Linked DNA regions of Mus musculus. The protein of the gene in region 5 interacts with the protein of the main gene of each other region in a biochemical or structural test. Links are inferred from orthologs where the notes say so. Each region holds a gene or a part of one and is shown on either strand. Other genes may lie near its edges.

Evidence for each region.
Region 1: the proteins of Itch (region 5) and Ndfip1 form a complex in vitro, tested with the Homo sapiens proteins (2 studies listed by BioGRID). The link is inferred for Mus musculus from reciprocal best matches to the Homo sapiens genes ITCH and NDFIP1.
Region 2: the proteins of Itch (region 5) and Ube2g1 form a complex in vitro, tested with the Homo sapiens proteins (2 studies listed by BioGRID). The link is inferred for Mus musculus from reciprocal best matches to the Homo sapiens genes ITCH and UBE2G1.
Region 3: of the proteins of Itch (region 5) and Nfe2, one has a biochemical effect on the other in vitro, tested with the Homo sapiens proteins (2 studies listed by BioGRID, with this or other methods). The link is inferred for Mus musculus from reciprocal best matches to the Homo sapiens genes ITCH and NFE2.
Region 4: the proteins of Itch (region 5) and Lrrk1 form a complex in vitro, tested with the Homo sapiens proteins (2 studies listed by BioGRID and IntAct, with this or other methods). The link is inferred for Mus musculus from reciprocal best matches to the Homo sapiens genes ITCH and LRRK1.
Region 6: the proteins of Itch (region 5) and Junb form a complex in vitro, tested with the Homo sapiens proteins (2 studies listed by BioGRID, with this or other methods). The link is inferred for Mus musculus from reciprocal best matches to the Homo sapiens genes ITCH and JUNB.
Region 7: the proteins of Itch (region 5) and Wbp2 form a complex in vitro, tested with the Homo sapiens proteins (2 studies listed by BioGRID). The link is inferred for Mus musculus from reciprocal best matches to the Homo sapiens genes ITCH and WBP2.

The regions. Positions count from the first base shown.
Region 1 is NC_000084.6:38,417,679-38,421,779, forward strand, and holds the start of Ndfip1 (NEDD4 family-interacting protein 1), read left to right. Parts: upstream 1-1,228; 5' UTR 1,229-1,435; coding exon 1,436-1,498; intron 1,499-4,101. UniProt on the Homo sapiens protein: Activates HECT domain-containing E3 ubiquitin-protein ligases, including NEDD4 and ITCH, and consequently modulates the stability of their targets. As a result, controls many cellular processes.
Region 2 is NC_000077.6:72,676,753-72,680,396, reverse strand, and holds part of Ube2g1 (ubiquitin-conjugating enzyme E2 G1), read right to left. Parts: intron 2,693-3,644; coding exon 2,514-2,692; intron 1,029-2,513; coding exon 942-1,028; 3' UTR 905-941; intron 1-904. UniProt on the Homo sapiens protein: Accepts ubiquitin from the E1 complex and catalyzes its covalent attachment to other proteins. In vitro catalyzes 'Lys-48'-, as well as 'Lys-63'-linked polyubiquitination. May be involved in degradation of muscle-specific proteins.
Region 3 is NC_000081.6:103,252,507-103,256,663, reverse strand, and holds the start of Nfe2 (transcription factor NF-E2 45 kDa subunit), read left to right. Parts: upstream 1-1,224; 5' UTR 1,225-1,514; intron 1,515-3,509; exon of another isoform or gene 3,510-3,621; intron 3,622-3,853; exon of another isoform or gene 3,854-4,157. UniProt on the Homo sapiens protein: Component of the NF-E2 complex essential for regulating erythroid and megakaryocytic maturation and differentiation. Binds to the hypersensitive site 2 (HS2) of the beta-globin control region (LCR).
Region 4 is NC_000073.6:66,262,743-66,266,386, forward strand, and holds part of Lrrk1 (leucine-rich repeat serine/threonine-protein kinase 1), read right to left. Parts: intron 2,800-3,644; coding exon 2,683-2,799; intron 155-2,682; coding exon 1-154.
Region 5 is NC_000068.7:155,132,038-155,136,329, reverse strand, and holds the start of Itch (E3 ubiquitin-protein ligase Itchy), read right to left. Parts: upstream 2,850-4,292; 5' UTR 2,745-2,849; intron 1-2,744. UniProt on the Homo sapiens protein: Acts as an Acts as an E3 ubiquitin-protein ligase which accepts ubiquitin from an E2 ubiquitin-conjugating enzyme in the form of a thioester and then directly transfers the ubiquitin to targeted substrates.
Region 6 is NC_000074.6:84,976,281-84,980,230, reverse strand, and holds Junb (transcription factor jun-B), read left to right. Parts: upstream 1-1,482; 5' UTR 1,483-1,801; coding exon 1,802-2,836; 3' UTR 2,837-3,322; downstream 3,323-3,950. UniProt on the Homo sapiens protein: Transcription factor involved in regulating gene activity following the primary growth factor response. Binds to the DNA sequence 5'-TGA[GC]TCA-3'.
Region 7 is NC_000077.6:116,084,190-116,088,584, forward strand, and holds the start of Wbp2 (WW domain-binding protein 2), read right to left. Parts: upstream 2,807-4,395; 5' UTR 2,737-2,806; coding exon 2,678-2,736; intron 1-2,677. UniProt on the Homo sapiens protein: Acts as a transcriptional coactivator of estrogen and progesterone receptors (ESR1 and PGR) upon hormone activation. In presence of estrogen, binds to ESR1-responsive promoters. Synergizes with YAP1 to enhance PGR activity.

The DNA.
Region 1 (4,101 bases), on a different chromosome or scaffold from region 5:
GATTATAATGTATTCCTATATATGAAACTCTTAGGGTAGTTCAAAGCAGCCGTGTTTTTATAAATATAACTAATACATAAAGATATATCTAAAGTTAAAAAATTAGAGACAAAGATAGCCCTACTGTTATAATCAACTGCAGAATACTAACTTGGAAAAACGATGAAAAAGCAACAGAAATTGTAACATGCTTTAAGGAGTGAAGGATTCTTTCCAGTCCCTCATCCATGATGGATGTGTGCTTAGTACTGATTCTAGACAGCTAGATAATGATAAAAAAGAAACAGCCCCAGACTAAAAAACAGAGCTATATTCTATGGAAGACAAACACTCTTGCCTCAACAAAGCTCATAATATGAACTGTGTGATAATGGTTAAGAAAGCTGGCTTAATAGACTTGCATTCCAACTTTCCCCCTCATCGGCTCAGGGTCTGTGAGTAAAACAGTGAATCCTTTTGCAGTTTCCTCATCTGTGAACCGCTGCTTATAGGAACTCCTACACCCAAGTGAGGGGAGCTCCGAGTTAGGCAAGGCTAGCTCTCTCTTGCCTCAGCACATGCTCCTGCTATCTAGATAAATCCTTCAAGTTTTGACTTTGATATCACTTTCTCGGAGCTGTAATAGAGTTTCTGTATCAACAGAAAAACTACTTATCGGCCCTGTACATTAGGCTCTAATAAAAATAACCTAATCTTAAGATTTAGGGTCAGCAGCTGGGTGGTGGTGGCGCATGCCTTTAATCCCAGCACTCGGGAGGCAGAGGCAGGCGAATTTCTGAGTTCGAGGCCAGCCTGGTCTACAAAGTGAGTTCCAGGACAGCCAGGGCTATTCAGAGAAATCCTGCCTTGAAAAACCAACCCCCCCCCCCAAAAAAAAAGATTTAGGATCAGCAATTACTTTTTGTAAAGGGTAAGTAAGACATAGTCTTTAGAGTTTGCAGGCCACGCCAGAAGGCAAAGGCCGTGTTATAATAAAACTTTATTTGAGGATATTTAAATGTCAATGCACGTACATCCTCAGGGTCTGGACTGGCGGGATGAGGCCCCTGCCCTGTGGCTGCCTGACCCCTTACCTCTGAGGATGGCAGTTATGAAGGGAACTGAAAGAAACCTCAACCCTGCAAGAAGGCGACTTCAGCGACTCCGGAGTAGCTGCGGCGGGGGCGAGGGGCGCGGCTGGGCCCGGAGGGGCGGGGTATAGTGCGGAGGGGCGGGGCGGCGCCGCGTCGTCGTCGTCGTCCCCGCCTCCTCCCCAGGGGCCGCGGCGGAGCCTTGGCGGACGCGCTCAGTGCCGGAGGAGAACGTCTCAGCGTCGGCAGCGTCCGTCCACACACGCCCCGGCGCGTACCTTTCGGCCTCCCGGCGACCCCCAGCCGCGGCGCTCGCGCCCGATCAGCTCTCTCGCTCGCCCTCCTTCCCTGAGGCCCGCTGCGCCATGGCCTTGGCGTTGGCGGCGCTGGCGGCCGTGGAGCCGGCCTGCGGCAGCGGGTACCAGCAGGTGAGCGGCCGCGGGCCCGCCCCGCCCTCCGCCGGCCACTGGACGCCGGGGCTTTGCAGGCCGCGCCGGGCCTCGGCCGGACCCCAGGGCCTGGGCCTGTCGTGGCTCGGGCCAGCCGGGAGGGACCTCGTTAACCCCGGTTGCCAGGTCGGGCGGGGCCCGGAGGCTGAACTCGTGGCGCTCTAGGGGCTGCGACCAAGAGGCATCAGTTTTTCCTTCTCTCAGCTTTGGTTTGATGTCATTGGAAAGTCAGGGGGCGAGAAAAAAAAAATTTTAAGCAAAAAAGATAAAGGAAATGGGTTCAGAAGAAAAGATCCTAATCACCGGTACCTCCGCTGGCGGCTGTCCGCAGCGAGGTGCGATTAGTCAGGGTTTCGGAGCCTCGTTTCTGTCCAAACCCATCCCCCTCGCTCCCTTTAAAGATTCGAGTCAAAAAAGAAAAAGAAAAAAAGAAGCGAGAGAGGAGCCCGCAGCTTTCAATCGATTTTGGAAGAGGCGATGTTTGGCTGGAGAGGCCCCAAAATGTAGGGCTACGTGAGGCTGCAGGGCGTGTGCCCGGATGTATTTTGCACGCTTAGAAATGACGTTTAAGAGATTTAATAGCATATCTAGGGAGGAAATATATCCAGATGATTGGATTATTATCTGCTGTGTGATTCTGTAAATTGAGGCCCTAGGGAAAAGAGATTTTTCTCCTCTCCCGGTGTGTGACTGGGTTTCCTCGGGAATTTAGAGACTCTTTTTGTGGAGGGAAAAAAAAAAGGTATTAATCTAAAATATAACGTAATCGTGGGAGTTAAGCCAGGAAGTTGTTGATAGAACCGCAGGCAGCTGCTTCTGTTTTGTCAATTTCAAATGTTTTCAGTATTACTTGCATACAAAAATGCCAGTCCTGCTTTTTCGACATAAAATGGCGTGAATCAAGAGATCTCCGTTTACTACGTTGTAGAAATAAAACCAGAATGATTAAAGCGTGTTGCAGATTAACCCTGTCGGGACCAGTTGCTGGTTTGTTTTGCTGTCTTCAGCGTTGCGTTGTAATCCGCCCTTCTTCCCGCCCCCGCCCCCGCCTCCGCCTCTGCCTCTGCTCCGACTCCTGAAATGACTAGTTAAGAATTTAGCCTCTTGGTTTCATAAACGCCCCAAATTCTGGCCTTGCAGACTGATCTTTATGTCTTCACAGCCTTTATTCTATGACCTTGCATGAGGTTCCGGGTGCTTCCTTGCTTTAATAAATTCGAGTCATAGATGTCATTAGACTTTCATCGACGTGTTTACAAATCCTTTGAACCTTATAGCATCAGTCTTTTCATTCCCGACTTGGATGGGCAGAAGAGCTGTGGGTTTTCTTTGTACTGCCATCTTACTTAGCTATGGGGTAATGCTGGTTGACTGCTATAATACAGAAAATTTGTTAAAGAGTATTAAAATTATGCTTTTGTTGGCTTATTGTTTAATAGCTCTTTGATTATGCAGAATTTAGGTTATGTTAGAGATGGGCCATCTTTAATATCGTTATTCTCAAAGTAATTAGTTTGCTGGGCATGGTGGCTCATGCCTATAATCCCAGCAGTTGGGAGGTTGAAGCAGGAAAATTGAAAGTTCAAGGCCAGCCTGGACTGCCAAATTAGTTGCCACCCAGCATGAGATACAGGAAGACTCTGCCTTGACAATAACAAAATACATTTGAAAAAATAATCTTCAATAAAACATGAAAAAAACCTTAGAAGAAATTATAAAACATTGAAGCCAAAAAAGTCTAGCCAAACACAAATCTATTCCCAAAAGTTAATATGTGGGCACATAGTCTTGTAGATGAGAGCTATGTAAATATGCAAAAGTGTGATCAGTGTGCATGTGCACAGAGAAGGAGTGCTGGTGGTGACTGTGTACCAGTCACAGCAGACATGGTTTACAGCCATCTTTACTGAACCCTTACAGCACTTAGGAGGAAGGGTTCGTTCTCATTTTATAGATGGCAAAGTCAAATCTCTAAGGGTCTCAGCGACTTGCGCAAGTTCACAAAACTACTAAATTATGATAACAAGAGTGTTCATTTACTCACCTGTATAGAGGCTCATGCCCCCAAAGACAGGCTGTATCCATTAGCAGATACATAAGTATACACGTATATTATGTACTCATGAATGTAGGCAGGCACATCTTTATACATTCATGCAGTTTCGTGCGCTCCTAATCACACTTGGATGTGTCCATTGTCTCAGGCATGTGCATTTACTTTCATGTGTTTTTGTGCACATACACATGTACAAAGGCACACAATCATTAGTAATATTGGATTTTCTTTTTCTTTTTCTTTTTTTTGTTTTTTAAGACAGGATTTCTCTCTGTGTAGCCCTGGCTGTCCTGGAACTCAGAAATCCACCTGCCTCTGCCTCCCAAGTGTGTGCCACCAGTGCCTGGCAATGTTGGATTTTCAAATCTCCTGGTTTTCTTTTTTTCTGTTCAGTGTTGAAGGTAAGGCCTATAACCTAGGGCCTTTCCCTTTCTACACAAGCCCTGTACCACTGAACTATATCTTTAGCCCCTCTGTCAGCTAGTTTTAATGCCTGTGTGGCATGAATTGTGTGCCTGAGCCATGA
Region 2 (3,644 bases), on a different chromosome or scaffold from region 5:
CTTTTTTTTTTCCCAGAGCTGAGGACCGAACCCAGGGCCTTTAGGCAAGCGCTCTACCACTGAGCTAAATCCCCAACCCTCAAGTTGTGTTTTGATCAAAGTTCGCTATCACAGCAATAGAAACCCTAATTAAGAACTCAACAAGTTGGTTATTTTATCACAGCAACAAAAAAGCTAGAATAGGACTGACCTCAGGACTTCCTGAACACTAGGCAAGGGCTCATTACTAGCTTTCAGATCTTTATTTTTTTTTTGGGGGGGGGGGGGGGGGCTATGGGGCGGGCTCACCATACAAAATATTCAGCATAAGAGGGTCCAAGATACTTCAGTTCCCATTTAAAAAGGTAAATGAAGATAAATAGAAAGGGTGAAATGAAGAACCAACTGACATCTTCGTTACCAGAAATTTTACCATCAATACAGGCTCAGTGATAGGGTACCCTTTTCCAGGAACTGGGTTTAATTGCCAGCAGCATTTAAAAAATAAAAAGTTAAAAATCTTTCATTACTACCAGTGAAAATAAGGAGACTATTAACATGAAACTATTTAATTCAGAACATCTACGTAAAAATACTTAAGTGCTCCAAAAGATAAAAAAAAAGCTCTGAGAAGCAGCAAACTACAGTATACGGAACTGGAAGAATAAAATTGAGCCAATATATACAAATCAAATAGCAAAATCAAATGATCTACAAAAATTAGTGCCGGGCATGATGGCGCACACCTTTGATTCCAGCACTTGGGAGGCAGAGGCAGGCGGATTTCTGAGTTCGAGGCCAGCCTGGTCTACAGAGTGAGATCCAGGATAGCCAGGGTTGCACAGAGAAACCTTGTCTCCAAAAAAAAAAGGCTAGCATTTGAGCAAAAAAGTTAAAGAGTTGCACAGTTTTAAAATGAACTTACCCTGAAATAAGTGAAGTTACTAACTATTGAATAAACATCACTCAAAAGCAGTTTCTTGGCTTTTTCTTACACAGCGGGCAACTTTCCTTTTAAATTCTCCGTTTCTGTCTTCCCTCCATTCTTTCTGCAGATACAAAATTAAAATCAAATTATTTTATATAAACCTATTATAATCAAAACTGCCTATTTGAATTATAAATATGATCCTTTTGTAATTATACATCTTTTTTTTCCCCGAGACAGGGTGTGATTATACATCTTAAAATGCTATGATAGGGTTGTAACTTAGTAGTAGCATACTTGCCTAGCTTGTTTTAAACCTGGTTTTAAATCAATCCTAAAAACTCCACAATTTTTTTCCAAGGCATAGAATAGTATTTTCTTTTTCTTTTTTTTTTTAAAGATTTATTTATTATATGTAAGTACACTGTAGCTGTCTTCAGACACTCCAGAAGAGGGAGTCAGATCTTGTTACGGATGGTTTTGAGCCACCATGTGGTTGCTGGGATTTGAACTCCAGACCTTCGGAAGAGCAGTCGGGTGCTCTTACCCACTGAGCCATCTCACCAGCCCCGTATAGTATTTTCAATACAGCTCAGGTGCTGAGAGCCCTTTGACTAGAGCATATGAGGACCTAGGTCCAGAGCCTAATACTATCCCTGCCAAAAAGTTGATGAGGTACAAAAGCAAATTTTGTAAAGCACTAGGCTAGGAACTACAAATAGAAAGCTCTTATGCTAATGACAGCTACTGGAAAAATTCTCTTTTAAAATAGAAAAAGGGTGGGTAGTGAAATGGCTAAGTAGCTAGAGGGCTTGAGGACTGAGTTAGGGACTGAAGAAGCACATGCTGGGGAGGATCCACTCCCCAGGGCTGTCTTGAAAGAGCCAGGATAGATAAGGCACCTAGCCCCAAACAAGCAAAAGTCAATCAAAACACAGATTATTTCTCTCTCTTTCTCTTTCTCCCTCCACACCCCTCCCCCCCTGTCGCTCGCATGCACACTGTAAGAGTAGGAACAATGGCTGTCTCCTTGAATGACACCAGTACCAGCATGAACAACATAGTTAAATTACAACAAAACCAATTTTTAATAAACAAGTAGATACCAGGAAATGCTCACAAAAATACTTAGCCTATATTTCTTTCTTATAATAAATAACCATTAAAAGAATGCAGGGACAACAGCAATTTTTAATTCTTATTTTTTCAAAGTTAAAAATAAAGTCCTCAAACCAAGACAACTACAAGATAATTTTATGAATATATGATAACATAATGAAATCCACTATTTTGAATACTAATGAAAAAGAGTAGATTTTAATTGTTCTTACTATAAAAATTAATGAGGGAATTAATACATGCCAACTAGTTCAAATTTGCTATGGCACAGTACATATTATACAATATCTGGCTTTTCATAACCACATTTATCCTATATATTTCAAAATAATTTATTATACATGGACTGTACAAAATAATCCAGTATATATAATAATTTTTATTTGTATGAAAATATGGACAAAGAAATGCACATATGTATTAAGTTTCAAGTTGAGTTTTAAAAGAGTAAAGGACAGAAGCAGCAGCTATCAGGCAAATACCTTACCGCAGCATCTACATTTGCAGGTGAGTCTCCATTAGGATCTGCCAGCATAGAAATGACACTAATCATGATGGTTTCCACAGTATGGATAGGTAACCAGCGTTCCTCTGGCTTCTCATAACCATATTTATCCTCCCCAGGCTCATGAAGAATAGAAATGCAAACATCACCATTTTTATCAACTGTAAAATTATAGAATAAGAATTGTTTTAATTTGGTTACATATAGTCTATTACAAATGTGATACATATATATATATATATATATATATATATATATATATATAATATTATATTACTTACGTGGAGATTTCCTAAATGTAATCTACTAACTTTTGAGAATGTTATAGATTTTACCAAATGTACAAGAGCCACCTAAAAAACTAAGTAGGAATATAAGCTATATTTAACTATATTTTACATTTTTTAACATTACAACCTTCACTGCTGTCCCTGATTCAAAGGACATGCCTTCTTTCTTCTAGTTCTCCAATTCCTTAATCTCAGCATTTACAGCTGTCTTCCTCTCAAATTCTAGTAAGATGGTCAAGGTTCAGCAAATAAAAATGTTAAAGGGGGAGGGTGATATAATAATGAAAATTAACAGACTCACAGAAAGATACACATTGGAGAGATAGCTCAGTGATTAGAAGCACTGGCTGTAGGCTAGAGAGCTGGCTCAGCGGTTAAGAGCACTGACTGCTCTTCCAGAGGTCCTGAGTTCAATTCCCAGCAACCACATGGTGGCTCACAACCATCTGTAATGGGATCTGATGCCCTCTTCTGGTGTGTCTGAAGACAGCTATAGTGTATTCACATATATAAAATAAATAAATAAATAAATAAATAAATAAATAAATAAATAAAAGTCTTTAGAAGCACTGGCTGATTCCAAGTACTCACATGAGAGTTTACACCCTACAGTCCCAGAAAATCTAACACCCTCTTCTGGCCTCTGTGGATACCAGGCATGCATCTGGTATACAGACATACATATAAGCAAAATATCCATATACTAAAAATAATAAAATAGGGGCTAGAAACACCCCTTAACAGTGGTTAAGAACACCAGGGCTCTTACAGAGGACATAAGTTAAATTCCCAGCACCCACAAGACAATTCACAACCACCTGCA
Region 3 (4,157 bases), on a different chromosome or scaffold from region 5:
TTGTGGAAGATAGTGGGGAGAACTAGAGTGGTCAAAGAAGACACTTTTGTGATCGAACAGTTGGAAGGCTCCCAGCAGCTGTTGTTCATGCTTCAGGCCAATATAGTCCCACTATTCTAACAGAAAGCACAATCCTATCCAAAGCGTTAGCAGAATGACACCTCTACCTTGGGGTAGGACTCACCTGCTTTTCTGCCTATCTTATTAGTTTGTTTTTCAGAGACAGGGTCCCATGCACATCAGGCTGGCCTCAAACTCACCACGTAGCCAATGTTGACCTTGAACTCACCTTTCCTCTAGCTCTTGAATACAGGGGTTCTAGGTCTTTTGTCAAATACCCAGCTTTGCTTCTGGTCTAAAAATGTTTCCAAATTAACTTGAATATCAGTGAGAAAAACAATAGAGAAAAAGTGGTGTAAGCCGTATCAATCAGAACCGAAGTTAGATAGACCAAAAAGACATGTTCCTTTGGTCTGAAAGTTACTGAAGCAGACACAGTGAGCACTCCTATAATTCCAGCACAGGGAAAGCAGATGAGAGACTTCTGGGAGAGCACAGTTGTCTGATACAGAGCTGTTGTGTACTAGGAGATGAATCTGATGTACATATGTAGCCTGGCCTGCAAGAAAAAAAGATCCCTTTTAGGGAGACTAATTATTAACCAACAGGACAGTCTCCCACCTAAGGACCCTCACCCCACACACACTGGCAATAAATAAATAAATAAACAAACAAATAAATAAATAAATAAATAAATAGGACAAAAAAGAATCCTTTGTCCTAGAGCATCTGAGGCAGGGGTTGGCGGGGTAACTCATTAAAGGATACCTCTAAGCAGCTAGCAGCCTCTCATCCCCAAAATAGTTCCCTTAGAGCCCAGGCTTTCTAGAAGTGAAGGTTGTTGCCCTAAGCAAATTGGACTCAGATACCTGGTTCTTACTGCCTGCTGCCTTTTGCCTTGTTATGACTTAGTTTCCCTGTCGGTCTTTAGGAGACACCACCTGAAAGAAAGAGGAGGCTGCGGGCCATGTTTATTTAAGCTTAGGAGTCTCTTGTGAGTGGACCATCGACTGTGAAGTCAGCCCGAACAAACAGGGAATGAACTGTCCTGGACCAGCTGGAGAGGGTCTGAAGCCTGTGAGCCCCGGGTGCCCCCGCTGCCACAGAGAGGCGGGGGCGGGGTGCAGCAGAAACCACACCGGGCTCAAGTTTCCTCTCTTGGCCAGAAGGGGCAGGAGGAGAAGAGGGCCACGGGGAAAGGGAAGGGTTGGAGGAAGCACTGGTAACTCCGACCGAGGGCTTCGGAGAGACCGCCGGTGCGCCCGCTTCTACCGGGGCCAACCGGTGCTCCGCGCCCAGCCATGGCCCGGGGGCGGGGCTCGGCCCTCAGTAGTACTCAGAGGCAGCGCTCAGCGCCCAGGAGGTGTCAGCTCTGACCCAGCCTCTCAGGGACACTACCCGCAGCCTCATCTCTCTCCTCGCCGGGCTTGGAATCCGCCACAGGTGCCTGAAAGGCGAGTCTGAAGGGACGCCTCAGTGGGCTCTGGGGAGGTCAGGCTGGGCAGGTGGAGGAGGTACAGGGAGGAATACCTAAGTTTCTGTCTGGATGTTTCTAAGACATCTTCCTAGACTATACCTGGTGTAGGAAACTGATACATTAGGAGTAATAATACTACTTGGAGATACTTTTAGATGACTTCCTGGCTGTTCTAGGACCCTTGGGGTGGCTGGGGTGGGAGGTTGTAGGTGGGGGGGCTACACAATGCTTTACTAAATAGCACCCTGGAGGAGCAGGGGAGTGAACAGGAGGAACCCTTCAACTGGCCTGCTGACTGGGGGAGCTAGTAGGCTCCAGTAATATGGTGCCACCTTGTACCCTTCCCCATGGTATTCTGTAGCCCCGACCATCTGAGATTTGGGGGAAGCGAAGGGACCATAAATATGGGATGTCTGAACTTCTGAAAAACCTTGTTACAGCAAGGTGGGGGGGTTGGCTGAGTGGTTCCCCGTTGCCTCTCCTCCTGTACAGTCCTAAGCTGGACCTGAAAAGAGGAGGGCATTCAATCTCAGTGTAGATGCTTCTATGGAAACTCTTGGCTGCTAGTAGCAGGAGGTTGAGATGCTATGGGAGAAAAGAGAGCCACCAGATCTGCGGACTGCAGCCTCTACTTATTGCTTCCAATGAGCCAGAGTTCTAGGGATAGAGTCACTGGAGAGCAGAAATTCATTCCCTTTTCCTTGTTTCCAAGCATCATGTTGATATATATATATATATATTCCCAGGGGACTAAGCCTTCGTGGTTCAAATCTTCCCTCTTCGTTCTATTGACTTCTTCTCTATTTTGCCTCTGCGTGCCTCTCCCTTTTGAGAAATTCTCCGTAATCTTTGTAACAAGGTTGCTTACCTGCTAATTTACACACCAAGTTTTACTCATATCTCTCTAATCCTTCCTTTGTCTGTGTTGACACCAAGAGAGGTGGGGTAACCTAATAAGCCTCAATACAGTACCCTGAAGCAAGCTCCCTGTCAAAGAAGTTCAAAGTCTTAGGCTAGCAGTGGAAGCCAAAATGTCTTCTTCTACCTCTCCAAATGATCCTGTATCCCTAGAAAGTTTTGTAACCTGTGAAGTCTTTGGAATCATGAGAAGATCTTTGGAAGATTCTAAGGATGTAGCTTGGTGGTAGAGTGTTGGCATGGCATATTCAAGGCTCTGGGTTGGTCTGGAAGGAGGGAAGGAGAGTAGGCAGGTAGGACCACCAGAGTGAAAAGGAAGAATGGAAGTTTCTGCAGTTGGCTCAAGTTCTACCAGATCTACAGTGTGGAGGATCGAAGGGGATAACCACCCCAGTAGATCTGGTGGTTTTATGACCTGAAGAGGAAGGCTAAACTGTAAAACAAGAGCAGTGTTGCTAAAGAGCCCCTGGAAAACTAGCTCACATTCCCTGTCTCTTTTCACTACCCTCTCTGGTATTCTTTCTGTCTGGCTTCTAGTCTGTCCTACTGGCTGCAAGCTTGCTGGTCCTCTGAAAGGCAGGCTCCCAAGATCCAAAGGGCCTGTGCCTGGTACAAGCCAATGGTCTGGTGGTTTCCTTTATGAACCTCTGCTCAGCCTCCAGCCTCTTCCTGCCCCCTCTACACTCTTTTTTTTTTTTTTTTTTTTTTTAATCTCAGGAACAAGAAGACTTACTTTCAGGTCTTCATAGGAAAGGGCTGATAGCTAGGTACCACTTGAAGTCTAGCTTTGCCTGGGTTTGTAGCTAGATGAAGAGTATAGACAACTTGCTATTCCCCTTTCCGGCTTTATGTTCTTTCCTGCAAATTCATCTAGATGTGTGTTTCTTGAGGTGAGTCTGGCCTCCTCTCTATGTCTAGGGCATTGTTGTTCTTAGGGGCCTGCACATCCCAAGGCATCAGGCATGTTTTCCATACACCCCAGGTAAATGTGGCTGACTAGATGCAGCTTGTTCCTTCTACAGTTGTGAATTTCTCTACTCCTGTCTCCATTTAGCTGGAAACTGTGATGCAATTTGTCCAAGGCCATACATCTTGAAGGCTGGAGAATCTTGCCTACTAGGGCAAGATCTTTGTATAGTACCTCAGATTCAGATCCAGGAAGACAGGTGAGACAAAGAGAGGTAGACTGGGTGAAGAACTTTGATGCAACAGTATAGTCCCTGCCTACCCAAAAACTCCTTCTTCATTCACTAAGCCTTTGGGCAATTTCCGCCAGAACTTGGGTGGGGAGGGTGGAGTTCCGGTGTTGAAATGGCATCCTGGACAGACATAAACACCCCACCCATTCTACCCGTTGGTCAAAGGCCTGTCTATATCAACTCCCATTTCTGGGGATGGCTTTATAGCAAGAGGGTGGAGGCAGAGCCTCAGGCAGATCAGTTGTTAAAAGGACACTTGGTAGTGGCTATACATTTTGTGGTAGGTCCAAGAGGAGACTCCATAATGAATAGCAGGAGGAGCTATCCTTGTGATGGGTCATATAAAGTCATACAATTTGAGGTCATACAGCCCTATCCTCTGGTCTTCTGTAAGGCGTTTCTTTTATTTATATGATGTGTAGTGTGGATGTGAATGTATGTACATGCTGTGCTGTCTGGCCCTGAGATATCAGGAGAACCTTGCCAAGTCTACTTGAAATCTA
Region 4 (3,644 bases), on a different chromosome or scaffold from region 5:
GGTTCTGCCGTGCATCTTCGTCGGGGATGCAGAACTTGGACCTGTTGGCTGTGTGGGAGCACAGGTAGGAGCAGCTTTCTTTTGGGGTGCCCCGTGCCACAGGAAACACAGCCACGAGTCCGTCAGCCAGGCCTGCCAGCACCAGGAAGGAGTTCTGTGGGGGGAAGGGACAGGGACACACAATATTCTTTCATGTCACACATGCGAAGAGAGAAACCACAGACACCAGACTCATCTCTCTATGTGCCTCAAGTGGTCACATGATCTTCCATAGTGCCTCAGAGAAGTAAAGCCTTTGAAATCTTGGCCTGCTCAGGGGTCTCAGGACTCTGTCCAGAGATGATGTAGCCTTGCCCCAGCAAAGCCACACCCACCACTGGTGCTGCAAGGCAAGAGGTAAGCCAGGGAGAACAGTGCCCATAGTGCTGAGGGCATCAAGCAAGGGTGCCACCACCTGGCATTGGTCCCTTGCTGGAGGAGCAGCGGGGAGCTGCCTTTCCTGGATGCCATGAAGGCCTCATGAAAGGCAGGGCAGAATGCTCTCCCTGTTGTAGATAGCTTATTAACATGACAGCTGTTATAGGCATGAGTTCTGTTTATTGCTCACACGGTGGAGAACTCCAGAAAAGCAGGGGGCAGGTCTCTGTGCCCACCACTGTCACCTGGGCACTGCACTGGCACAGGAAAGGGTTAAGTCTGAGACACCTCTGTGGCCCGGGATCCCACTGTTTCCATCAAGTGGACAATCTATGACCCTGGAAGAACGAGCTTCTAGCTTAACTCTCCTGCTGGCATGTCTTGGTCCCATGTGCCCACATCCACACTCTGAAGAGCCTGGGCTGACACTACTGAGGAGTTTGACTTACCACGAAGCACCGTTTCCTCTGTAGCCACCGCCAGAGGTTACTAGGCAGAAGCCAAAGCTGCAGGTACAAAGCCAAATACAGGCTTCCAGGGGTGTCTCACAGAGCAGAGCAGAGCAGAGCAGAGCAGAGCAGAGCAGAGCAGAGCAGAGCAGAGCAGAGCAGAGCAGAGCAGAGCAGAGCAGATACAGAGTGAGTGGGTCAGGAAAAGGGCCACAGAACCAAGTCAGAGTTCATGACAGGACCCCAGCCTTGTTCTATCTAGCCAGGGGGAATGGCAGAAAGCCACTTTGTTAGCAGTCAGGGTGCCTGTGTGGAGCGGGGTGGGCAGCTGTTCAGGGTAGTAGAGTGAGTGGCCTCTCACACAACATCCACAGTAAGGAGCCCTAGGAAAATTTCTCAAAATCCATCTTCAGGATCTAGGTCAATAAAGCAGCCAGAGCAAACAGGCCATAAGTCTTTCTGGATCCTGGCCCTGCTGGCCGGCGTGGGGAACACCACGTTCGGTGGGTTGTGAGCGTGCTTGTGCAAGAATGCACGCACGGTCTGCCCTGTGTGGCCTCCGCAGGTCAACCTCCACGGGGGCAGGCACCCTGCGCAGGAGGCTCACACAGAGTCCGCTTTATTTCCCCTGCTCCGGCAAGACGTGAGCCCTGGCTGGGGCTCTGGCTGTCAGGGCCCTTCAATAATGCTTTGTGTCCGTTTCTCCCAGCCTCTGGTGTAGAGATCCCAGCTGCCTAGGGTGCTCCTGGGGCTACAGTCATAAATGACTGTAAGGTTCATTTCATACCCATTTTCTGTCCCTTTTATAAAGAAATGAAGCTAGATCAGGGTGCAGAGAAAAGCTCACAGGTTTGGCGACATACAAAGTCATAGCAACCTTTAGCTCCAAGTACCCAGCCTGGAACTCTGGGCTCCATAGGTCCAGAGACCTATTTCATTACTCAATCATCCTCATGTTAGGCGGACAAATGGGGACCACATAAGGGCAGGCCGCACATTATAAAAAGCTGTGCTAGGAAGTGATGCTTATGCACTGGTGGAAGGCACGCGTTTTACCCACAGGCCCCTTGTGACCTGATTGGATCCAGGGAAGGAAGCAGAGCTTGGGAGAGCAAGCAGTGCCACCCAACTTCTCAGAGGAGTTCCTGACAGTTCACCAGAAGAGAAGGTGAAGCTCCCGTGTCTACTGTTTGGAGGAGAAGGCCCAGGGCCAGTCAAGAGGTGGCCTTGCCAGCCCTAGTGAGGCTAGATTCCATGCCAAGGTGCGGTGGAGCTGGGGCTGGGGAGCACACTGAGTGAATGGGGTTAGGAGGGCGAGGAAGTGGGTCTGCTCTGCAATGCTGGGCAGTGCTGGGCAGTGCTGGGCAATGCTGGGCAATGCTGGGCAGTGCTGGGCAATGCTGGGCAATGCTGGGCAATGCTGGGCAATGCTGGGCAATGCTGGGCAATGAAGGACTGAGGCCTGGGAAGGAAAGCAAGTCTTTGAGAGAAGGCAGAGGCAGATGAAAGGGAATCAGCTACGCCCACTAATCAGAAAAATCAGTGGCCAGGGCAGAGGAGAGGCTCCTGATGCCTTTATCAAGAGAAGGAGCCACGTGTTTGCTTCATCATCCGCACCAGCGTGAGCCTCATCTAAGCCAGGGGCACTGGCATTTGCTCATGGACGGTAGGCACAGGTTAACGGTGGTTGCCTGTGTCTCTAAAGCTGGCTATGACCTGGGCAAGGTGGCCCAGAAAGGTGTGACTCCACTGTTCTCAGCAAGGAGATCCTCCCACACTTGGTGACAGACCTGAATATGTCCTCTCCCCACCTTACCTTTTTGATAACAGGTACTGCCAAGAAACAGGTGACGACAGCTGGGGTGTCCAGGGCCTGCTGGGGCACGCTTAATGGGCACATACCCTTAAGGCTGTAGATATAGATTTTCTGGTCCTGCAAAAAGCAGACAAGCTCACTGTAAGAGCTAGAGAAGGAAGTGACCGGTATGTCCTATGAGGATGCTTTCAGCCTGGGGAACCCCTTTGGTACCTTTCTAAAGGCAGCATTTTGCTTGCTAATTCATTTCTGCTTTTTGTTTGAAAACTACAGTCTGGAAGAAAGTTAGCTCATAGAGGGTCCTGAGGAGTGGGGGATGGAGCGTCTCAGAAGCTCCCTTCGGCTATGCATGAGTATACCACTAGCAAAGTGGAGTCACGATACAGTGACAGTGTGCCATGGGCAGAGTCCTGTATTTACCCCCTCAAGGATGTATATGGGGTCACCTCCTCTGTTCATCACCTTTAAACATATTTGGTGAATTTATTGTTGCTATAAAGAATTGTATCGGAATAGGTACTCTTAGAGATCTCTCTGTGTATTCTCCTAAAACAGATCGATGAGGCTTTAGTGCCATGGGTATCTATGGGTTTTGGGAGATCTATATACTTCTAAACAGTCATGTCGAAGCATTATGATGTTCCTTCCCCTACTCATAAACCTGGAGCATTTGATTTAGAGCGGTGTTTGGATTTCTCATAGGACAGCCACTTGGATCTTTCCATGACTTCTGCATACAGAGGCAGAAGGTCCTCGGAGATGAGCTATGCTCCATGGCCCTCACACTATTATGAGGAAATCCAGCATGCCATCAACACACCCAGTTTCTCCCGCTGAGCATCTCTACCTATTCTTACTACCCTGAATCCTAGCTTCCAGCTGGTGGCCAGCAGGAGCCAGCAGTGATTCCCCCGGTGACCTACCTCACAGGATCGATGACATTATTTTAGGGATCGCTCAGG
Region 5 (4,292 bases):
GTCACTCTGGCCCTTTCACTTTTATCATCAGAGCCATTTTTTTTTTAAATAAACACCAACTTAGACCACTTCCTTTCCCCAAGCCTTGATCTCTCACGACATCAAATTCACGAGCATTAGCACTGTACGCAGAGCTTTTCCAGAACAGGTCCTTTTGCCCTCCTGGTCCTGAGGCCCCTGCATCCCACACCCTGCGCTCCTTTTCTCCCACCTTCCTAACTGACACACGCCTCGAGGTAGTAAGGTATTTCCTTCCCTTTCTTCACCTCTGCCCCATTCCTACTCATCCTCTAACCCACTGCTTCTCAACCCTCCTAAGGCTGTGACCCTTTAATACAGTTCCTCATGCTGTACAGTCCCTCATGGGGCTTACCAGCTCCAACCATAACATTATTTTTTGCTGCTTCTTCATAATTGTAATTTTGCTACTGTTATGAATTACAATGTAAATATTTTTGGAGCTAGAGGCTTGCCAAAGGGGCCAAAACCCAGCTTGAGAACCACTGCTCTAGAACCTCGGGTCCATAGACTAACCCTTTTTTGAGCCAGGACCCACTAGGTAGCTGTGATGGCCTGGAACTAACCATGTTGACCTTCATACATAGGTCTTGCCACTTCCCTCAACAATCCCACACAGGCCACTTCCACTTCCTCCCCCATCTCAAAGCTTTTTGTGCTGTCTTTGTTATAACCATACTATGATTTGCCTCAGTGTTCCCAAAACCATCCCAACTACCTACAGCCCATCTGTAAGTAAAGTTATAGAAGCCAATCCAGACCCACTATTCTATCTCAAAACTGAGACCTGAGAGCATCTACTTTTTTAAAAAGGGTCTCAAGTACTTCAGGCGGCCTCACCTCCCAATGCTTCTGAGAGCTAAATAAACTTGGGCCTTGTGTGTGGTAAACAAGCACTCTACCAACTGAGCTGAAAACTCTACTTTCAAAAATCTCTCCTGGTCCAGCAAAATAGCTCAGCAAGGAAAGTCACTTGCTATGCAAGCCTGATGACCTGAGTGTGAACCCTAGAACACACAGGAAAGAGGAAACACTCTTGACTTCCAACTCAAGTCATGGTGTGCGCATGCACACATACACACACACAAATAAACAAATCTCAAAACTTCTCCCGAGCCCACTCTGTTGGTTAAGCACCTATAATCCCAGCACTTGGGAGGGAGAGGCAGGAAGACAGAATGACGTTTGATGCCAGCCTAGGTTTACACACAGTGTGTTCTAGTCCAGTCAGCGATACAGAGCAAATCATGTCTCAAAACAAAAACAAAAAAATTAAAAGCTCTTGTAATTACACTAATGGCCAAACCTTGGGACCATGGATCAGTCTGTCTCTTAAGTAAATCTTTGTTGTTGTTTTGTTTGTTTGTTTGTTTGTTTTAAAGAATGTAGAATTTACTCTAGAATACAGTAAAAAGTATTAGGCACTTGCTTTTGGATTCATAGTATATATATCCTTGTTGACATCTGAAGTTTGAATTCCTGAACTCACACATACAAAGTATATTCACTGTTCAAAAGAAAATTTCAATCTTTTTTAAACCTGCAAAATTAAGCCTTAGGTAACCCTGTGATACACAAGGCTGAATCTCAAACTTGCCCCCAAAAGACTTTATTTCAGATGAGAACCAAGCCCTCTGCCAATCCTGGGAGTGAACATACACAGCCTTTACCTACTTTCTTAAGATAAGGATACAGGAGAACCACCCACTTAAGAGAATGATGATGGGTGGCTAGATGGTGTTCTGTCAACTGTGAAGAAGAAAACCTCCCTCTTCTCCCCACTGCCCCCTTTAGAACAAGTTCACTGCAGCTTAAAGAGGAACAGAAGTCTCAACAGGATTAGGATTCTAACACAGCCAAGAAAACAAGCGAGTGGGGAACTGTGAATTTGGGGTACTTTGCAAGTCACCTGGTCACATCTCTAACTTTAGGCCCAATGCCTACTTCGGGTGCACTGACCCTTATATATTTTTTTTCTCTCTTGAAGTTGCAGCCGGGAACTATGTCTCAAAACTCAAGTCTTCTATTTAAAAGTCCTGCCCTCATTGGGCTTCCACCTTTCAAATGCGCTCACCTCTACTTTTTTCTTTGCTCAAGAAAAGTACGCTCTCGGTAGAAAGGGCTGTGACAGCTCCACGTCTGCAAAAGTCGGTGGCGCCGGCCTGGGCCGGGACCACCATGAGTGGGGACAATGGAGGGAGGAGGGAAGTACAAGACAGAAGGGGAAGCAGTCACTGGGGAAGGTCCTCTGCGAGTGGGAGCTTGGAAAAGTCTCGGGGGGAGCCTGCCAGGTGGCAGGTGGGCCCGGCCGCCGCCCCTCAAAGGGCCACGTCGCGCGGGCGGGCCGCTGCCACCGGGCCCCGCGCGTAGGCCGGGCCGCGGGAGAGGAACCCCCGGGCGCGGCAGCGGGGCGCGGGGCTGGACCCTGCCCACGTCCGCCGCGGCTCGGCTCTCTCCCAACTTGGGGCTCGCGGGCCTACAGGCTCCGGACGCCTAGGCCAAGCACTAGCAGTTCGGCTCGACCTGCTGACCCACCCGCCACTCGGCTCGGGCCACCAGCCGGCTCTCCGGGCGCCCCCCACGGACACCGGCTGCGGGAAGAGCAGCCCCGGCTCTAGGTCCAGACTCGAGCGCCACACTCCTCTACCCTTCGCATTCCCCATGCCTTTTCATCCAAACTCCCTCCAAGCCACAGAAATGACCCCAGTCTGCCTGCGCGTGTTTACCGGGACTCGGGGCGGCGACGACTCCTCAGTCCCTCCGCTAAGATGGCAGCCGGTCCCGAGCCCCGACTACAGCGACTAGAGCTACTTCACACCTAGTGCGCAGGCGCGGCCTCCTCGGCGCAGTCCGGACTACAGGCCCCAGCAGGCCTTGCGCGCCAGCCTCCTAAATCATTTTTCCTCACCTCCAGGTGAAGTGGACACTAAGCCTTGCTCTCTACATCTCCAAGGCTTTTTTCTTTTCTTCCTTCCTTTCTCCTTTCCTTTCTCCCTTCTTTCCTTTCTTCTTTCGTTCCTTCCTTTTGACCCCTTCTTCCCCGCCAGGACCTCTAAAGACTGTTACCAAATGCTAGCGTGTCTCAGAATCACTTGAACAGCTTTTAAAAACAGACTGCTGAGCTCCACCGCCAGTTTCTGACTCAGTAGATCTGGGATGGAATAGGGGTTGCTTTATAATCTGCATTTTTATCAAGTTCTCTCCTGATACTCCTAACAGCAGGAATCACAATTTATGAAGCACTGTGCCGGTTCTATCCTTCTGGAGTTACACTGTTTGGGTTCAAATTCTCCTTTCTCCACCTTTTGACAGGAAGTTCTTAGGAGGGTGACAGCTTGACAGCGCCAAGGCGGCATGAGTTATAAAAACTGAAAAGCATACTTCTAAACGTTTACAACAAAACTATGTGAAAGATGCCATTGGTTACCTTTTCAGATGCTTAAATTAAACTTCTTAACCCAGGCAAAACACATCTAATCCTACCGAATTAATAGGCTGTGCAGTGGTAATAATAGAGGCACGTGATAATTAGCAAACTTTGCTATTATTGTTTATCCTGTTTCCTCGTAAGGAAACTATCTAGAAAGTCACTTAAACTTTTCGAAATACCTTTGAAACTACCATATTATGAATTATGTGCTGAGTTTATTAAACAAAAAAGATTCTGAGTTGGGAGGATGGTTCAGTGGGTAAAGGCTCTTGCCATGCAAGCACAAGGATGTTTGAAACCCCAGCATTCATATAAAAGCTGGCACCAACGGACCCCTAACAGTGGTGGGCAGACATAGGAGCTCCCTAGTCAACGCCCTAGACCACACAGCAAGCTTCAGGTTCCATTAGAAGACAGAGACAAATGGATCTCTGTGGGTTCAAGGCTAGCCATGTCCAAATATCTTGAGAGTTCTAGACCAACCGAGGTTACGTGGTGAAACCCTGGGTTTGGGTTTTTGGGATTTTGTTTTTGTTTTTTAGTTTTGGTTTGGTGTGTTTAAGTATTTAAAAGTTCTTCTGCACTTCCAGCCAATGTTTGCCACATTAGGGATTAAGCTGTAAGAGTTGGCTCAAGATGTAACTCACTAGTAGATACTTACATAGCATTGATGAGGCCCAAGATTTTATCCCCAATATTGAGAGAGTGGTGTGCTCTAGGAGAATCTGGGTTGGTTTCTTGTTTCGTTTTGTTTTGTTTTTTAAACTAGCATCCCAGATGATTCTTGTCACTGGGCATACTATAAGATATTTTAACAAATATTATAAATATATTTTGTTACTTT
Region 6 (3,950 bases), on a different chromosome or scaffold from region 5:
CTCGAGTTCCTGGCTCTTAGTTTGCCGCCCCAAGACTGCACTGGTCCCACCTCTTCCTGTGCCCTAATATGGGTGCTGGGGAGAGAAATTCAGGGGGGGGTGCCCCGCCCCCAATCTAATTCACGGACTCCAGCCTGTTGCCTTGGTGACGAGGCCCCGCTCCCAGGCTGCATCCCCCTCCAGCCGGCCAATGGAACAGTCCTCGGCTGCCAGGCTTATTAGTCGCCGATGGTTGCAGGCTGAACCATTTCTAGATGGGGGAGATCAGACTATGACTAGAAGCGTCTGTAGCTGGGTTGTGACTTCCCCAAGGGTCGCTTGCCGAGGTTCCTCTTCCCAGGCGCAGAATTTGGCAGGCCCAGGGTAGGGTGCACCATCCCCTAGGCTCACAATGACGAGACAGGGCCGGGCTCTTTCCCCCTCGGGGCTGTTGCCACACTTCCTGCCTCGGCTCTCTTTCCCTAGCCTGTTTCTAAGGAAGGGAGTGGGGTTGGGCGACCGCACCCCAGCTATCCCGCCCCATCGGCCCTCCAAAAGCTGACAGGATATCGGGCGAGCCCCGGGTGACTAAGGGAGGGCTTTGGGCTGAGGTACTGGGCATGTCAGTGCCCTAGGGACCACCTACGAGGTACAGCCTCATTCGTACAAGTCCTGGTCTCTGGGATCCTCCGAGTCATCTTCTCAGGAAGATCTCAGATACCCTCCTGTCATTGCCTTCATAGCTCGGAAGGAAGCTATGTCGTGACCATTTTAATTCTCTGCCAGAGTTCTGCAAATATCCACAATGACCCCAACCTTTGCTAGATATGTTCCCATCTTTCTACTCCGATTACCTCAGCGTCCCCAGGACCTTTGTTCTGAATATCTAAATTGACCTCCCCAAAATTCCTTCCCTTTTCCACTTATGGGGAAACCCTCAGACTCATCTATGGACTCTAGAGCCCCTACTCATTTCTTGTACAATAGGTACCTGAGCCCTGTTGTGTCTTGGCCCTTTCCTCCCAACTGACAATTCCAGTTCTTTAAGCACTTTGTACCCGGGACCTCTGGTTAATTCCTAGGCCAAATGTTAACAATTGCCCCTGTTTTGTATCTTCTCTGTTTTCTGGGGTCTTCTACTGTATTGTCAGTTCACAAGCCACAGCTACCCTGGGTCCCACGAGACTTTTCCGGGGATATCCTAAGGTATCCAATCTCCACTTGCAGTGTATCTCATAAGCACCTGGCTGTACTCCCGCAGTTCTAGCCCCTATGTGCCTCGGCCCCTCAACATCCCTTTGCTTGTGTGTCTCTGTCTCCACAGCCCCTCCCCCTGCAGCCGCGCAGAGCCACCCGGCTCGTGGCCGCTGTTTACAAGGACACGCGCTTCCTGACAGTGACGCGAGCCGCCTCCTCCCCTTCCCCACGCTCTAGGAGGGGGCCGCGGGGGCCTGGCTCCCGCGTCGGCCAATCGGAGTGCACTTCCGCAGCTGACAAATTCAGTATAAAAGCTTGGGGCTGGGGCCGAGCACTGGGGACTTTGAGGGTGGCCAGGCCAGCGTAGGATCCTGCTGGGAGCGGGGAACTGAGGGAAGCGACGCCGAGAAAGCAGGCGCACCACGGAGGGAGAGAAAATCTCCGGAAGCCCAGCAGCGCCTTTACGCACAGCTGCCAACTGGCCGCTGCTGACCGTCTCCAGCTCCCGAGGACGCGCGACCGGACACCGGGTCCTGCCACAGCCGAGGACAGCTCGCCGCTCGCCGCAGCGAGGCCCGGGGCGGCCCTTCAGGGGGACCTTTCCCAGATCGCCCAGGCCGCCCGGATGTGCACGAAAATGGAACAGCCTTTCTATCACGACGACTCTTACGCAGCGGCGGGATACGGTCGGAGCCCTGGCAGCCTGTCTCTACACGACTACAAACTCCTGAAACCCACCTTGGCGCTCAACCTGGCGGATCCCTATCGGGGTCTCAAGGGTCCTGGGGCGCGGGGTCCAGGCCCGGAGGGCAGTGGGGCAGGCAGCTACTTTTCGGGTCAGGGATCAGACACAGGCGCATCTCTGAAGCTAGCCTCCACGGAACTGGAGCGCTTGATCGTCCCCAACAGCAACGGCGTGATCACGACGACGCCCACGCCTCCGGGACAGTACTTTTACCCCCGTGGGGGTGGCAGCGGTGGAGGTACAGGGGGCGGCGTCACCGAGGAGCAGGAGGGCTTTGCGGACGGTTTTGTCAAAGCCCTGGACGACCTGCACAAGATGAACCACGTGACGCCCCCCAACGTGTCCCTGGGCGCCAGCGGGGGTCCCCAGGCCGGCCCAGGGGGCGTCTATGCTGGTCCGGAGCCGCCTCCCGTCTACACCAACCTCAGCAGTTACTCCCCAGCCTCTGCACCCTCTGGAGGCTCCGGGACCGCCGTCGGGACTGGGAGCTCATACCCGACGGCCACCATCAGCTACCTCCCACATGCACCACCCTTTGCGGGCGGCCACCCGGCACAGCTGGGCTTGAGTCGCGGCGCTTCCGCCTTTAAAGAGGAACCGCAGACCGTACCGGAGGCACGCAGCCGCGACGCCACGCCGCCTGTGTCCCCCATCAACATGGAAGACCAGGAGCGCATCAAAGTGGAGCGAAAGCGGCTGCGGAACAGGCTGGCGGCCACCAAGTGCCGGAAGCGGAAGCTGGAGCGCATCGCGCGCCTGGAGGACAAGGTGAAGACACTCAAGGCTGAGAACGCGGGGCTGTCGAGTGCTGCCGGTCTCCTACGGGAGCAAGTGGCGCAGCTCAAGCAGAAGGTCATGACCCATGTCAGCAACGGCTGCCAGTTGCTGCTAGGGGTCAAGGGACACGCCTTCTGAGAGCCTCCCTTGCCCCATACGGACACCCCCAGCCTTGAAGGCTGGGCGCCTGCCCCCCACTGGGGTGAGGGGGGCAGGCGATGGGCACCCGCCAAAAGGCCTGGGGCGCAGCTCACACACTGGACTCCGGCCCGCCCGCCTGCGCCCAGTCCTTCCACCTCGAGGTTTACATGGCCCCCTTCCAGCGTATTTTGTATGTTTTTTTTTTCTGCAAAGAGACTGAATTCATATTGAATATAATATATTTGTGTATTTAACAGGGAGGGGAGAAGGGGGCTGTCGCGGCGGAGCTGGCCCCGCCGCTTGGTACTCAGCCTGCGGGGATACTAGGGAGGGACCTCCGCCCCCTGCCCTCCCCCTCTGCATAGTACTGTGGAGAAGAAACACGCACTTCGTGTCTAAAGTCTATTTTAAGATGTGTTTGTGTGTGTGTGTTTGACTTTTTATTGAATCTATTTAAGTAAAAAAAAAATTGTCTTTATTAATTTCTGTGGTCTCTTTTTTCTTCCAAGCTGGGCGGATGGAGGGAGAAGATTGGGCTACCCCAAGCACGGTGCTGTTTGTAGCTCGCTCCTTTCAGGTATCATAAGGTTCAGTACAAACGCCCAGACCTCCTATCCCCTGAGTCCTGGCACCAGACGCTGCGCAGGCGGGCAGTGGCGGGGAACAAGCTACCCAGGACAAAACGCGGAATGTGCAAGCATGACCCCGCCCAGCAGAGTGCGCCGGGGCTTTCCCCGCTGACGTTACGGAAGCTCTGCCCATATATGGGCCTATTCAGCTCAGTGACGCCAGCGCGGTCTCCGGGCAGATTCCGGGAATCCCCTCCCCCCCGCTCTGCCGGGCAGGGCCGCGGCGCCGGGAAGGGGGCCGGGATTTTCCCGAGCAGGCGGCTTTCTGGGCGCGGAAAGCCCCAGGCCCGGGTCCAGGGCGCCCGCGGCGGGAGGGCCGTGCTCTCATGAGCCCTGGGAGCCATCCGAGCGGCTTTCAACAGACCGGCGCCGGAGCCCCACCGCGCCCACGCCCCCTCCATTAGACCGACCCTGGCGGAGAGTAACTGCAGCCTTCCTGTAGTTGCAGACGCCGTCAGGGCAACTCCTGCCAGGAAGGGCGG
Region 7 (4,395 bases), on a different chromosome or scaffold from region 5:
TGCGCTCTCAAGTCCTGTGAGTGGGGTTCTGTCTGGGGGTGTTTTGGGGGCAGGGTTTCTTATAGCTCAGGCTGGTCAAAACTTGCTAAGTTCCCTCCTGCTTCCACCTCCCAAGCTGTTGGTTTCCTGAGGTGCTAGGGCGGAGCCTTGGGCGTGTGCTGGTTATGAGGGCACTCCACCAACTCAGTCCCAGCCAGAGCTCTTTTGTCAGTGTTTGTAAAAGCTAATCTACGCCGGGTTGTGATGGCCCAACTTTAATCTCTGCACTCAAGGAGGCAGTGGTGTGTGGATCTGTGAGTTCGAGGCCAGTCTGGTCTATAGAGTAAGTGCCAGGATAGCCAAAGCTACACAGAAAAATGGTCTCAAAACAAACAAATAAATACAAGCCTAATATGTAAATAGCTCCAGGCTCATCCCCAGCATCAATCAATCAATCAATGTATGTATGTATATATGTATGTATGTAAAAGATATGATTCTATATTTGCTTTGGACCCCCTGATGCTGGAGTTACATGTGGTTGTGAGCTGTTCCATATGGATGCTGGGAACTAAACCTGGGTTCTCTGGGAGAACAGGAAGTATTTCTAACTGCTAAACCAGCTCTCCAGCCCCTAGTCCAAGCTTCTCTAGCTGCAGCAGCAGAAAACTTCTGCACATAAAGCCCTTAAGATAGGGGCGCGAGTGCGTGTGTGTCTTTGTGTGTGTATGTACTCAATTCTCTGGGAAGAGTTCACAACTTTTCTTTTTCTTTTTTCTTTTGGAGACAGGGTTTCTCTGTGTAGCTCTGGCTGTCCTGGAACTCACTCTGTAGACCAAGCTGGCCTTGAACGCACAGAGATCTGCCTGCCTCTGCCTCTTGAATGCTGGGACCAAAGGCATGCACCACCACCTCCCGGCAAGTTCACAGCTCTTATCTCTATCAGTGGTTTGTGAATTAAAGATTAATGTTTACAAGTTTAAATTCCAAAGTTTGAGCATCATACTTAAACTTCAATTATTGCTGACACATTTGTTTCAGAAGTGTGGCTCAAGTTATTCCTTAGAACCCTACTGGTAGCAATGAGCTATGAACCAGGTGCTGAGGCCCAGGAGGGTAGATACCACCTAGGTAAGACTCAGTTTAAGAGACAAAAAATTCCCAGTATGGTAGCACATGCCTTTAACCCCAGCACTCAGGAGGCAGAGGTAGGTGAATCTCTGTAAGTTCAAGGCCAGCCTGGACTACCTAGTGAGTCCTGGACAGCCAGGGCTCTATTACACAAAAAACACTGTCTTGGAAAAACAAACAAAAAGGAATCACTCCCAAATAATGAAACTAAAGAGCCCTGGTGAATTCCTTGCACTTAAAAGCCTGAGGTAGGAGGACTGCCTCAAATTCAAGGCCAACCTGGGCTACAGGAATGAAACCATACCTCAAAAACCAGAGAGACTGGTAGAAGTGGGGACAGTCATTAGATGGCATCAGAGTACTTGGCTCAGCCAAAGAACTGGACAAAGTATACCAGAAAACAATGTAAGGTTTCTCAGATTACAAGATAAAAAGGTTTGAGTTCGTATGGTTCCATTCAGCTGTCTCCTCCTGTCCCAAATATCCTTTCTTGGTGCAATAAAAGAGGGGCAGCTCAGGTTAAAGAAGTGGTCACCAGGCACATGTGCTGGCCAGCCCCTTCCCAAGACCTACGCACACGAGGTCAGCAGAACCTGGCCTTGTCACTGCCACCTTCTCCTCTGAGTCAGCTTCCCAGGTGACAAGTCCCAAGATGGGTGCCTGTCTACACTGGGTGTGGGCTCTGACCTCCATCATGTCTCTCTTGGCTCTCAAGTTAATCCAAGCCCGGATAGTGCAAGTCAGGAGAGTCAGAATTCCAAGGAACAAGAAACAAGAGGAACAGAGAAGCCCAGCAGTTCAAGGAGGGGAGAGAAAAAAAGAATCTTAAAGTTGGGAGACCTTTGTTCGGGGAACTGACACAAGCCATTAAGAATTCAAGAGAACCAGGCAAGAGACAAGCCTTTATAAGGGTCACCGGGTTAAGTAGTTGACAGACATTTAGTTCCACCACCTCTAGGGCCTCAGCCTTTCTTTTGGAACTTGAGAAGTTCTGGAATATACGAGAAAACTGTACAGGAGTAGTTAAGCCTATTGACTTTGGGGCCAAGTTACCTTCCTTCAATTCCCCTTCTGTTACTCACAGCACAATGGTCTAAGTTATTTTAACCTCATTAGGCGTCACTTGCCCTACCTGTAAAATGTGTCTAATAGTTTCTGCGGCACAGGATTATGTATTACCTAAGGTAGAGCTGACGCAGCATAGTAAAGACGTAGTGAACGCCTAATAAATAGCAACTATGTTTTAAGACTTCGTTTGGGAAGGGGTTCAAGAAATCACCCGTGGGCCTCACTCGGCTTCCCAAACAAACCCTGACACCATTCTCTGGCCCCACCCCCACCCATCACCCCAGCTGATCAGCACTCCGGCCCTCCCCAACGACCCACCCACTCCCTCCAGCCCCGCCTCCGGCCGTTACCACCCCTTTCTCCCTCTTTCCTCCCCCCCCACGCCCCCCCCCCCACAGCGCTCCATCAATTTCCTTCTCCACCATATCCCACCGCCCACCACACACAGTGGCCGACACCCGCCCTTCAAGTCTCCAGGATCCTTCCGCCGTGTTTTCACCTCTCAGTGTTGTTGACGATCACTCCGCCGCCCTCTGAGTGATTCTTGTTGAGCGCCATAGTCTCTCCCACTGGGGTCCCGAGACTCGCAACGCTCTGCGCTTGCGCTGGTCTTTGGCCCGCCTCTAGTGGCGTCGTTCGTATTACAGTCAGCCAATCATAGTTCCTGCGCGCAGGCTGACCAACCACCTGATCTGGACTGTCACGTGGGGAGAGTTTACTCCCGCTCTCCCTCCCCCAAGTTGCACCTGCATCACAAACAAGCAGCCAACTACAATTCCCAGCAGGCAGTGGTCCGGCAACCGCGGCCTCGCCCTGCGTTTAGTGACGAGTGCATTCTGGAATTTGTAGTCTTTTTTTATATTATAGGCCAGGCTAGAGATTATATTTACAAGACTACTTAAACATTTGTACGCCTCTCTCATCCTAGCTTCCTCATGTTAAGCAAACTCAATCGAAGAAATGTAACTTAAATTTGATGATCTGGTGTATGGTACATTTAAACATTACGTAACCAGCCGTCTTCATTTCCGCAACTGTCATGAGTAGTTCGCGCTTACATTTGGGTATTCATTGCAAACTTACAGAGCAGTGCGAGATGCAGTCCCTTCTACAGTGGACTGGCAAAGCCCGAAAAAAATAAAATACGCCACTTTAATCGACCCAGATCCAGATCCCGGACCCAGAGTCGGACTGTGAACTTCTGGGGACTGAGCGGTCCGCTCCCCACCCTCTTCCCCGCCCAGCACCTGCCGCCTGCCGCCTCGCGATGGCGCTGCTTCCTGCTCTGATCTAGCGGATCCCGCTGCAGAAGTTAAACAGCAGGGTTTAAACAGGACCTAGAATAATTGAGTGGACTGACAAAGCACATGACCAACCGCCAGGTAGGACTTTGAAAATACCACTGACTCGTTTCTGCTAGTGGGTGTCTCCCCACTGCGCTGTAGTGAATCTAAACTCCACCTCTGAGTTGTATCTTTCGCAGGGCTGTCGAGGGTTGGGAGAACTCTTCAGTTTCTGGGTGGCATCTTAGCGTACCTACCCTTAACCTTAAGACACCAGTGTTTGGTTTGAAGCAGACAGCATGGTGCCCTACATCCTGGAACATTGCCACAGATTTGAGGCCAGTTTGGGCTGCATAATGATTTCCAGACCAGCCTCAGCTGCAGAGTAAAACAGTTCTGGGAAATGGCAGGTACATTATTAACTCACAGTGCAAGAGACCCTTCTGTTCGCTTTGGGGTTGTTTGTCTGTTTGTTTGTTTGTTTGTTTGTTTGTTTGTTTTTCTAGGTGCACACTAATAAAAGTCAAATGGCTACAGATTTTTGTTTGTTTGGTTTTTGAGAAAGAGTCCTGAGATTACAGGTGTGTACCACCGAGCCTGGGTTTACAAAGTTATGATGATCAGTTGAGTCCAGTATTCATGCACATCACGAAAAGCACTGTTCTAAGCTGGACTATGTCCCTAGCCAGCCCAGCAGTTTTTAAAGAGCATAGTCCAAGATGGGTATTAGTAATGACGCAATCAGGGATCAGAGGTGAGAGGACGGCTGGGGGTTTGAGCCCTGGCTCCTTGTTTGTGTATTCAATTCCAAACCGTCCAGCGACTCTGTCCCACAAAGATAAAACAGCAACAAATCCAGTAAAAGAAAATCCATAGCCACATCTGGTGGCACACGCCTTTAGTCCCAGCACCCGAATCAGGTGTTCACAATGGA